3 linked regions of the Saccharomyces cerevisiae S288C genome follow. The gene in region 2 interacts genetically with the main gene of each other region. Each region holds a gene or a part of one and is shown on either strand. Other genes may lie near its edges. The genes, in order: MCK1, CLB5 and KIN3.

Region 1 (3,710 bases), on a different chromosome or scaffold from region 2:
TTATGCACAAGGTTTACTCTCTGCTGTCATGCCAGTTACTGGCCAGTTTGTCGTTCTGCTACTGGGCTAGCGTTTCCACTTCTTTGCAGAACTTTATCATGTCGCATATCGCCCTCTTCTACATCTGCATGGTGGTATCGCTAGTATCGTGCATTTGGCTGGCAGTAAGTCCTCGTCCCGAAGACTACGAGGCCAGTGTTCCCGAACCGTTGCTCACGGGCAGCAGCGAAGAGCCGGCACAAGAGCAAAGGCGTCTGCCTTGGTACGTCTTGTCCTCGTACAAGCAAAAGCTCACGCTGCTCTCCATTTTCACTCTTTCCGAGGCTTACTGTCTGTCGCTGGTAACCTTAGCGTACGATAAGGATACAGTACTTTCGGCTCTGCTGATCACCACCATCGTCGTAGTCGGCGTTTCCTTGACCGCACTATCAGAGAGATTCGAGAACGTGCTGAATTCCGCAACGTCAATATACTATTGGTTAAACTGGGGTCTATGGATTATGATCGGAATGGGTCTCACGGCCTTGCTTTTCGGCTGGAATACCCACTCTTCCAAGTTTAATCTGCTTTACGGCTGGCTTGGTGCCATTTTATTTACCGCGTATCTTTTCATCGATACGCAACTGATTTTTAGGAAAGTGTATCCTGATGAAGAAGTTAGATGCGCCATGATGCTTTACCTGGACATCGTCAATTTGTTTTTGTCTATTTTAAGGATTTTGGCCAACTCTAACGACGACAATTAAAAAAAGGGAAAAATCGAATTATTTACACGAATATATATATATTTCTTCTTCTTTTACATAGTTTATAATTCATACATAGTGGGAGCTGATCATAGTCTTCTCATCTTTGGTGATCTTACACCACCAAACTTCAATTTGGTGGCATCGCTGATCTTCACAACCTTTTTCACCACACTGGCCCCTTCCTTACCAACAAGAGCGGAAATAAAAGCAGCTCTGCCCTTCCCAAAGTCGTCCATCACCACTTCGATATCTTTGTTCAGCATGTTCTTTTCCTTAATCAATTCAAACATTCTACCACTGGTTTGAAATGCAGCTTCATACTCCCCTCTTGCTGCCTTCCTAAACCCTAAACAACCTGTAGATAGCGAAATCTTCACTTTCTGGGGTAAGTTCAAATAGTACAGCATTGTATCATTATACGTAAGTCCCTTATTCTTATGAAAGTTCTTGTCCTCCACAACGCTTGAAAATGTCAAATGCGTGTTATTTTTAGTAAACTTGCCATGTAGAATGTACTTAACTACTTCCTCTTTGGGCTTGTAAACCTCACTACTACCATTTGACTTTGTCAAAACTGAGTCAGAGGACGAAGGATACGAGATATTCGTGATATCCTCCTGATTTGAAATATCCTTAAATGAAAAAGGAACTCCTCTATTCGTGCCGGTAGAATTCCATCTTCTGATAGGCCTGACAAACTGCGTCCATCGGCAGCCTTTCCAAACAGGTTGTAACAGCATCACACGTAACTATAACAGTTCACACTGTCACTTTTTCTTTTCAGAAGAACCACTGCTTTCCACCTGATTTACTCTCATTTTGTCTTCCCTCTTTCCCAATTCATCGTTATTATGCCAAACAGTCACGAAGTACGAAACAAACACTCTCCGCTGCTATAGAAAGTTCCAATCTTAGGCTGAATAATGGAATACTAGTAGCTCAGTGATTATCATCATAATTGAAGCTATCATTAAAAAGCATGCAGCCATATTATGCAGGAATTATATGATCACACGTAGCTGTAGTGGCTTTCGAAAGCAGCATTCTTGCTTCCACTCAGTTCGTATGTAATGACAGTTCAGTGACCCACAAACAACACTGAAAAAAGCGACCTTCATATGCGGAAGAGGGCAGGCGTAACCTCCAAGGGAAAACGACATAGATTTCGCAAGTGAGTGCCATTGTGTCGTGTTAGTAGTGTGGGCAGGCCCGTAACGTGTTTATTGATAGGAGTTAAGCCCAAGACTACAGAGTTCTTTGCTTCATCTTTCAATTTTCTTTTTATTTTCCGAAACCCCCACTCCATCACATTCTAGTACATATGTCTACGGAAGAGCAGAATGGTGTTCCTCTGCAAAGGGGATCTGAATTCATTGCAGACGATGTAACCTCGAATAAATCGAACAACACGAGGCGGATGCTGGTGAAAGAGTACAGGAAAATCGGTAGAGGTGCCTTTGGGACTGTTGTACAAGCATATTTAACCCAGGATAAGAAAAACTGGTTGGGCCCCTTTGCAATTAAAAAAGTCCCTGCTCATACCGAGTACAAGTCCAGGGAATTACAGATTCTGAGGATTGCCGACCATCCAAATATCGTTAAATTGCAGTATTTCTTTACTCATTTGTCCCCGCAAGATAATAAAGTTTATCAACACCTTGCCATGGAATGCTTACCAGAAACTCTACAAATCGAGATTAATCGTTATGTGACAAACAAGCTAGAAATGCCATTAAAACATATCAGGCTATACACTTATCAGATTGCCCGCGGGATGCTTTATTTACACGGTCTTGGCGTTTGTCATCGTGATATCAAACCATCCAATGTTCTTGTAGACCCGGAAACCGGTGTCTTGAAAATCTGCGATTTTGGGTCTGCCAAAAAATTGGAACATAACCAGCCTTCAATTAGTTACATCTGTTCAAGATTTTATAGAGCGCCTGAATTGATCATTGGTTGTACCCAATATACCACCCAGATCGATATATGGGGGCTTGGTTGTGTCATGGGCGAGATGCTTATCGGCAAAGCCATATTTCAAGGTCAAGAACCCCTTCTACAGCTAAGGGAAATTGCTAAATTGTTAGGTCCTCCCGATAAAAGATTCATTTTCTTTTCGAATCCGGCCTACGATGGCCCTCTATTTTCCAAACCACTGTTCTCGGGCTCTTCGCAACAGAGGTTTGAGAAGTATTTTGGCCATTCCGGTCCAGATGGTATCGATCTTTTGATGAAAATATTGGTCTACGAACCACAACAAAGACTGTCTCCAAGAAGAATCCTTGCCCATCAGTTCTTTAATGAATTAAGGAATGATGACACTTTCTTACCAAGAGGTTTCACTGAACCAATCAAGCTACCAAATTTGTTTGATTTTAATGATTTTGAGTTACAAATTCTGGGTGAATTTGCTGATAAAATTAAACCTACGAAAGTTGCTGAATAATAATTTTCTATTAATTTGTTCTCTTTCCCCTCGGAAAATTTAATGAACAAAATACTATGATTTTTTTCACCTTTGATCCGCTGTTTATATTTCACTTGGAAAAGAAAAAAAATTTTTTGGAATAAAATATATTCAAATTTCCATTTGATATTATCATACACTTCTTTTATCCAGTCACTCCTTCAATTTCTTCTTTATTTTTTATTTTATGTTCCTAATTTTTTTTTATCTCTTTCCTATTTCCTGTTCTTTTATTAATCTGAAATATTATTATTACTTTAGTGTTAGTTTATAATTTTAATTAGGCCTACGTGGCTTGTAATAAATTGCCTCGCATGTTATCATTACTTATATAAAAGTATTATTGAAATACCGTCGTTATTTTTTGATATTTATGTGAGAAAAAAGTATTACCCGGAGGAGCCGCAAGGTCATCGGTTAAAATTTTTCAAATATATCAATCTCATCTCATCTAGTTAACAGAACCATTTCTTCAGAAAGCAAAATGCTCA
Region 2 (3,760 bases):
CAGAAGTTTTACTATTAATCCCACCATAGAAATTTGTATAGGAAAGTAGTTTATTGGAGTTATTGGATATACTGTGTAAACTATTTCTTGAAATTGTAATCTTAAGATGCTCTTCTTATTCTATTAAAAATAGAAAATGATTTTCATATTTATTTATTTATTTATATTTTGGCATTACTCTTCATCATTTTTTTCCCTCTAAGAAGCTTCCTTTCTTTTTATAAGGATAACAAAACCAAAAGGAATATTGGGTCAGATGAATGGACGCGAATGCAAGACAGAAGTCCAAATCACGTCAAGACAAAGAAAGAAAGAAAGAAAAACTAACACATTAATGTAGTTTTAAAATTTCAAATCCGAACAACAGAGCATAGGGTTTCGCAAACAAACTTAAATATATGCTAGAATAAAAATTAACTATCATCTATTGACTAGTATTCATATATGACGTAATAAAATGAAATGTAGATTCATTTTGTAGATTCCTATATCCTCAGAGAGAATTTTTGGTATATCCTATATGCATAATATTATAGTCTTTGCCAACAATCGAAACCAAACATATATCTTAAAATACACCACTTTCTCAAATAAATTCGTTAAATAACGGTGTGTTGAAATGTTTACCGTAACTTGTAACAGCTCTAACAACTCATACCTGCTATGTACTGATTCCAAGAAAAAAAAAATGGAAGGTCGGGATGAGCATATACAAGCACTAAGAAGAACAATACAGAACTCTACACGGTATTATTGTGCTACAAGCTCGAGTAAAACCGAGTGTTTTGACGATACTAACGTTGTTAAGAAAGTAACTTGTTATCAAACTCATTACCAACTTGTGATTAATTGGTGAATAATATGATAATTGTCGAAATTCCATTGTTGGTAAAGCCTATAATATTATGTATACAGATTATACTAGAAATTCTCTCGAGAATATAAGAATCCCCAAAATTGAATCGGTATTTCTACATACTAATATTACCATTACTTCTCCTTTCGTTTTATATGTTTCATTCCTATTACATTATCGATCTTTGCATTTCAGCTTCCATTATATTTGATGTCTGTTTTATGTCCCCACGTTACACCGCATGTGACAGTATACTAGTAACATGAGTGCTACCGAATAGATGACATTTTAGACTTTCATTCCAACAACTTGGTTGACAGAATGTTACGTACCCTATATCTAATCTATATGAGGCCTGAATCTAACTGAAAGGTGGAATTTCAGTAATTTATCAAGCTTTAATAAGTTTGGGTAGTTTAACTGTGCAAAAAGGTATTTACCTTACATACTGAATCTTGTCTGTTTGGTAGCGGCTGCTTTATGGGTGTTTCATAGATGTCCAAAATATATTGAGATATTGAGATATAACATTCTAGGATAATCAAAATTACCATAATTCAAAAGCTCGTATGGCGCAGTGGTAGCGCAGCAGATTGCAAATCTGTTGGTCCTTAGTTCGATCCTGAGTGCGAGCTTTCTTTTTTAGACTACTAATTTTATTTTGCTAGTCATTTTTTTTTTATACTCAAAAAGTAAAAAGACTACGAGTATATTCAAAGTAAAAAACGAACGTCAAACTATCTCGATTAAAACTTGTCATACTGTGGGTATCATATTCTGTGCCCTCAGTGAAAAGAACCAGCAAAAGAACGCGCATCTCGAGTGAAGACGCGCCCTTGATGGTACAAAATTTAACGGGAAGGCGCGTCGTGATGTTCACGCGCTTTGCCCACATTGGGATAGCGCCCACAGCATATCTGTGCTAAACTCACTTTTCCTAGTGACTGCCGATAGCTACTGCCATCTACCGCGAAGGGAACTTCATTTGCGTTCATCGGTTTATTAGAAGCTACTTGGAACTAATTCTTAAGCTTCTCAAGAAAAGTTTTTTTTCTGTCTATCTATTGAAGTCTTTTTGTCTTTGTACTTCAAGAGACTCAATCACCTAAAGCTTTTCACGGCCAATTAGTTGTCTCACACAAAGCAAAATAAGCTTAATAATTAGCAGTAACGCGCTTTTCCCTGTATTTAAAGCCGCTGAACACCTTTACTGAACAATGGGAGAGAACCACGACCATGAGCAGAGTATTAAAAGAAATTCTATGATTTATAATGAAAATGAGAGGCAGTTGTGCAATTCAAACCTAAAGATTCTTCAAAATAAAAGGGCCCTTTCAAAAAATGACAGCTCTAGTAAGCAGCAGGTTCAGGATTCTAAACCAAGAAGGGCTTTAACAGATGTACCAGTGAACAATAATCCTTTAAGCCAGAACAAGAGAATAGTAGCAGGGAGCAAGGCGGCCAAAGTACGAAGAGAAGAAAACATTAGACCTATTGTTAGCGCCGTTCAAAAAAGACAGATATATAACGATCGAACGGCAGCAGAGCAAGAAGAAGAAGAAGAAGAAGAAGGAGAAGATGATGATGCTGCTTCGATAGTGAACAAAAAACGCAGAATAGACGCTGAAGGAGTGAGTGAAATAGTAGGCTGGCAGGACCTAGATTATGTTGAAAAAGATGATACTGCAATGGTAGCAGAATATTCTGCTGAAATTTTTGCATTTTTATATAGAAGAGAATTAGAAACGTTACCATCGCACAACTATTTACTCGACAAAACGTCCAAGTATTATTTGAGGCCTTCCATGAGAACAATATTAGTGGATTGGCTGGTAGAGGTGCACGAAAAATTTCAATGCTATCCGGAAACGTTATTCCTATCCATAAACTTAATGGATAGATTTTTAGCTAAAAATAAAGTTACGATGAACAAGTTACAATTATTGGCAGTTACCTCACTTTTCATCGCGGCAAAATTTGAAGAGGTAAATTTGCCCAAACTAGCTGAATACGCTTATATCACTGACGGCGCGGCTTCTAAAAACGACATAAAAAATGCGGAAATGTTCATGCTCACTTCCTTAGAATTCAACATTGGTTGGCCCAACCCACTCAATTTCCTAAGGAGGATCTCCAAGGCAGATGATTACGATCCGGTTAATAGAAATATTGGTAAGTTTATTTTAGAGTATGCCTACTGCTGCCACCAATTCATTCATTTACCTCCATCTACCGTAAGCGCAATGGCAATGTATATAGCGAGAAGAATGACCAACAGAAACAAGAACGAGCTATGGAATGGAACACTACAGCATTACAGTGGTGGTATCGATCCAATACACGATGAAGCGTTTCAGTCTCTCTGCATTGATCTAGTCAAAGACATCGCTAGTTCCAAAACTCATTTAGATTCATTGATTTTGAAGTACAAGAAACCAAGGTATGGCTCTGTTTATTTCCAAACTTTCAAGTGGTGTACATCCGAAATGCATAGCAACTTTCAAAATCTATTTAATCTTAAGTAGATTAGTACTAGTAATGCTCATGAATTCGCATACTCTTTACATTTTCTTTTCTTTTTGCTGAACTAAAAGGAAAAAATTTTTTGCATCTATCTATCTATCTATATATATGTATATATAGTTTATAGTGATATGCGTGTTCACTTCAACATATATAATACCACCAGTATTACTACTATTATCATCATTAATATTAGAATTTTTTTTGTTTTTAAATTTATTCTTTTATTTTTATTATTATTATTATCATTATTACTATTAAAAAATTATTATTATTAATGTTATTCCAATGTTAATTATAATAACTATACTGAAATAATTTTAAAAGAAATGAAAAATGAGAAGAAAGCAGCATTTTTTAAGAGACTAAGGTTATGATATT
Region 3 (3,536 bases), on a different chromosome or scaffold from region 2:
TCCAATGCGACACAAGAGCATTTCAAACTTTCCCCATCTGACCATATCTTCAAAATCAAGACTACTAATTGAATTACCGGAGGGTTTCTTTACCTGGCTAACATCTTTTTTTGTTGACATGGCCCAAATCAAAGATTTATCTGTTTTAAAGTACTTCACCAAGCTTTGTTACCTTACAGTACATATAAACAGCACTTTTTTAAATGATCTGCTTGACAACGATGCTTTTTTTGCTTTTATCCGGAATATTGATACCATCATTCCCTTTATCGACGACGCAAAGACAGCAGCTTTCATTTGGAAACAAATCACTGCTATATGCGTTGAAATGAGTTTGGATATGGACCAAATGAGTGCTTCTTTATTTTCTACAGCTATGAATTTCATCAGAAAAAAGAATAACACCTCCATAAGTGGACTGGAGATCATACTGAACTGCTTGCATTTTACGTTACGCAATGTAAATGATGATGTGGCTCCTACAGTGGGCTCATCAGAGTCTCATAGTGTTTTCCTCATAAAGGTCAACAATGACGCTGCTATTGAATTACCGATTGATCAATTAGTTGACCTGTTTTATGCATTGAATGACGATGACGTTAACCTCAGTAAACTAATTAGCATTTTCACGAAGATATGCTCATTGCCCGGTTTTGAAAACCTTACAATTAATATCATATTTCACCCGAACTTTTATGAAAAGATTGTTTCTTTCTTTGATACCTATTTCAACAGTTTACTTATTCAAATCGATCTATTGAAATTCATAAAGCTAATATTCTCAAAATCGTTATTGAAGCTATATGACTACACAGGACAGCCGGATCCTATAAAGCAAACCGAACCAAATCGTCGTAATAAGGCCACTGTTTTCAAACTTCGTGCCATTTTAGTACAAATAACGGAGTTTTTAAACAACAACTGGAACAAGGATGTCCCAAAAAGGAATTCAAATCAAGTTGGGGGGGACTCAGTTTTGATCTGTCAGCTATGTGAGGATATCCGTTCATTATCAAAAAAAGGAAGCCTGCAAAAAGTTTCAAGCGTCACTGCAGCAATTGGTAGTTCTCCAACAAAAGATGAGCGTAGTAATTTGCGATCCTCCAAAGATAAAAGTGACGGCTTTTCCGTCCCCATTACAACATTTCAAACATAATGTAGGAATTGCATGTGCATACATACATATATAGAGAAATAATACAGCATTACATTAACACTATATATAGAATTGTGAACCTTCCAATACTGAAAACGCATCTGTTTGGAAAAGAGATCAGAAAAGTTTTTGAATTTAAAGAGGCCAGTAATGATAAAAAAGCATATACATATATATGCTTTTTTTCTTTTCTTTTTTTTTTCAATTGGGGATTAAATGTATGAACGACTCAAAGTGCATTTTGTTAAATGTTTCTAGCTATAGATCAATAAATCTGAAATACGATATCTGACATGATTGCAGTGGCACAGTCTTCCGATAGGTTACAGCCAAGTTTTTTTTTTAAGGTTTCTGAATTTTTTCATTACGTTTCCTAATTAGGTTAAACGTAAATAAAAGCGACTTTTCAAAAGAATATCAAATCATATAACATGAAAAGAGCAAGATTCACAATACTAATTTCAATGAGAGTGCTATTTGATAATTGAATCAATTCTCTGTGTGAGTATGCATAGACGACAGTTTTTCCAAGAATACCGTAGTCCTCAGCAGCAGCAGGGACACCCACCAAGGTCAGAATACCAAGTTCTCGAAGAAATTGGGAGAGGTTCATTTGGGTCTGTACGAAAAGTCATCCATATACCTACCAAGAAACTTTTGGTTAGAAAGGATATCAAATATGGCCATATGAATAGCAAAGAGAGACAACAGCTGATCGCTGAATGTAGCATTCTATCGCAGTTGAAGCATGAAAATATTGTAGAATTTTATAACTGGGACTTCGATGAACAAAAAGAAGTGTTATACCTTTATATGGAATATTGTTCCAGGGGTGATTTATCCCAGATGATTAAGCACTACAAACAGGAGCATAAATATATACCAGAAAAAATTGTGTGGGGTATCCTGGCCCAATTATTGACTGCGCTCTATAAATGTCATTATGGTGTTGAATTGCCAACTTTGACCACAATATATGACCGGATGAAACCACCGGTAAAAGGCAAAAACATCGTTATCCATCGTGATCTGAAACCAGGAAATATATTCTTAAGCTATGATGATAGCGATTACAATATTAATGAACAAGTAGACGGTCACGAGGAAGTGAATAGTAATTATTACAGAGACCATAGAGTGAATTCAGGGAAAAGGGGGAGCCCTATGGACTATAGTCAAGTTGTGGTAAAGTTAGGTGATTTTGGGTTAGCCAAATCTCTGGAAACTAGTATTCAATTTGCCACAACATACGTCGGTACACCATATTACATGTCGCCTGAAGTGTTGATGGACCAACCATACTCCCCACTATCCGACATCTGGTCACTAGGTTGTGTTATTTTTGAGATGTGTTCGTTGCACCCCCCATTTCAGGCAAAAAATTATCTCGAGCTACAAACTAAGATTAAAAACGGGAAATGTGACACCGTCCCTGAGTATTACTCTAGAGGGCTTAATGCCATAATACATTCAATGATAGATGTGAACTTAAGAACCAGGCCTTCCACTTTTGAATTACTGCAAGATATTCAGATACGAACTGCAAGAAAGTCGTTGCAATTAGAGAGATTTGAAAGGAAGTTACTGGACTATGAAAATGAGCTGACAAACATTGAAAAAATCCTCGAGAAGCAAGCTATTGAATACGAAAGAGAACTGAGTCAGTTGAAGGAACAATTTACCCAGGCAGTGGAGGAGCGAGCCAGGGAAGTAATTAGCGGTAAGAAAGTTGGTAAGGTTCCAGAATCTATAAACGGATATTATGGTAAAAAATTTGCCAAACCTGCATACCACTGGCAAACAAGATATCGATAAAATTTGCTCTGAGAACATTTATACATTAATACATACGGGTATGTATGAATCATATTCAGTGAGGAGTTACACTGGCGACTTGTAGTATATGTAAATCACGTTAGTGAGACCATTTAGACCCTGTCAATGTTTCATAAGCCTCTATATATTTGGCCCTTGTCCTGTCGACAATGTCTTGGGGCATTTTGACGCCGTTAACACCGTTCAACTTATTAGCAGTAAGCCAGTCTCTTAAAAATTGCTTATCGTAAGAATCTTGGGATTCTCCTACCTTATAAGAGGCACCGTTCCAGAATCTAGAGGAGTCTGGCGTTAGCACCTCGTCCACTAGAATAATTTCATTGGTCTTTTCGTCAATACCGAATTCGAATTTAGTGTCTGCGATGATGATGCCCTTCTCCTTAGCATAATCTTTGCACTTGGAGTACAGTTTTACAGCCAGTTCTGCCACTCTACGTGACAAATCTTCACCCACCAGCTCAGCGGCCTGGGCAGGAGAGATGTTTTCGTCATGTTCACCTTGTTCAGCCTTGGTCGATGGGGTGAAGATTGGTTCTGGGAACTC

What was found.
Region 1: mutations in CLB5 (region 2) and MCK1 together harm fitness more than expected from each alone (negative genetic interaction), as found in Saccharomyces cerevisiae (5 studies listed by BioGRID, with this or other methods).
Region 3: mutations in CLB5 (region 2) and KIN3 together harm fitness more than expected from each alone (negative genetic interaction), as found in Saccharomyces cerevisiae (4 studies listed by BioGRID).

Annotation. Positions count from the first base shown.
Region 1 is NC_001146.8:55,934-59,643, reverse strand, and holds MCK1 (serine/threonine/tyrosine protein kinase MCK1), read left to right. Parts: upstream 1-2,070; coding exon 2,071-3,198; downstream 3,199-3,710. Other genes in the region: BXI1 (Bxi1p), read left to right, coding at 1-746; mitochondrial 37S ribosomal protein uS11m MRPS18, read right to left, coding at 836-1,489. UniProt on the Saccharomyces cerevisiae protein: May be an autophosphorylating tyrosine kinase, a bifunctional (serine/tyrosine-specific) protein kinase, or a serine kinase that is a substrate for an associated tyrosine kinase.
Region 2 is NC_001148.4:773,496-777,255, reverse strand, and holds CLB5 (B-type cyclin CLB5), read left to right. Parts: upstream 1-2,073; coding exon 2,074-3,381; downstream 3,382-3,760. UniProt on the Saccharomyces cerevisiae protein: Required for efficient progression through S phase and possibly for the normal progression through meiosis. Interacts with CDC28.
Region 3 is NC_001133.9:169,831-173,366, reverse strand, and holds KIN3 (serine/threonine protein kinase KIN3), read left to right. Parts: upstream 1-1,663; coding exon 1,664-2,971; downstream 2,972-3,536. Other genes in the region: serine/threonine protein kinase CDC15, read left to right, coding at 1-1,156; ADE1 (phosphoribosylaminoimidazolesuccinocarboxamide synthase), read right to left, coding at 3,072-3,536.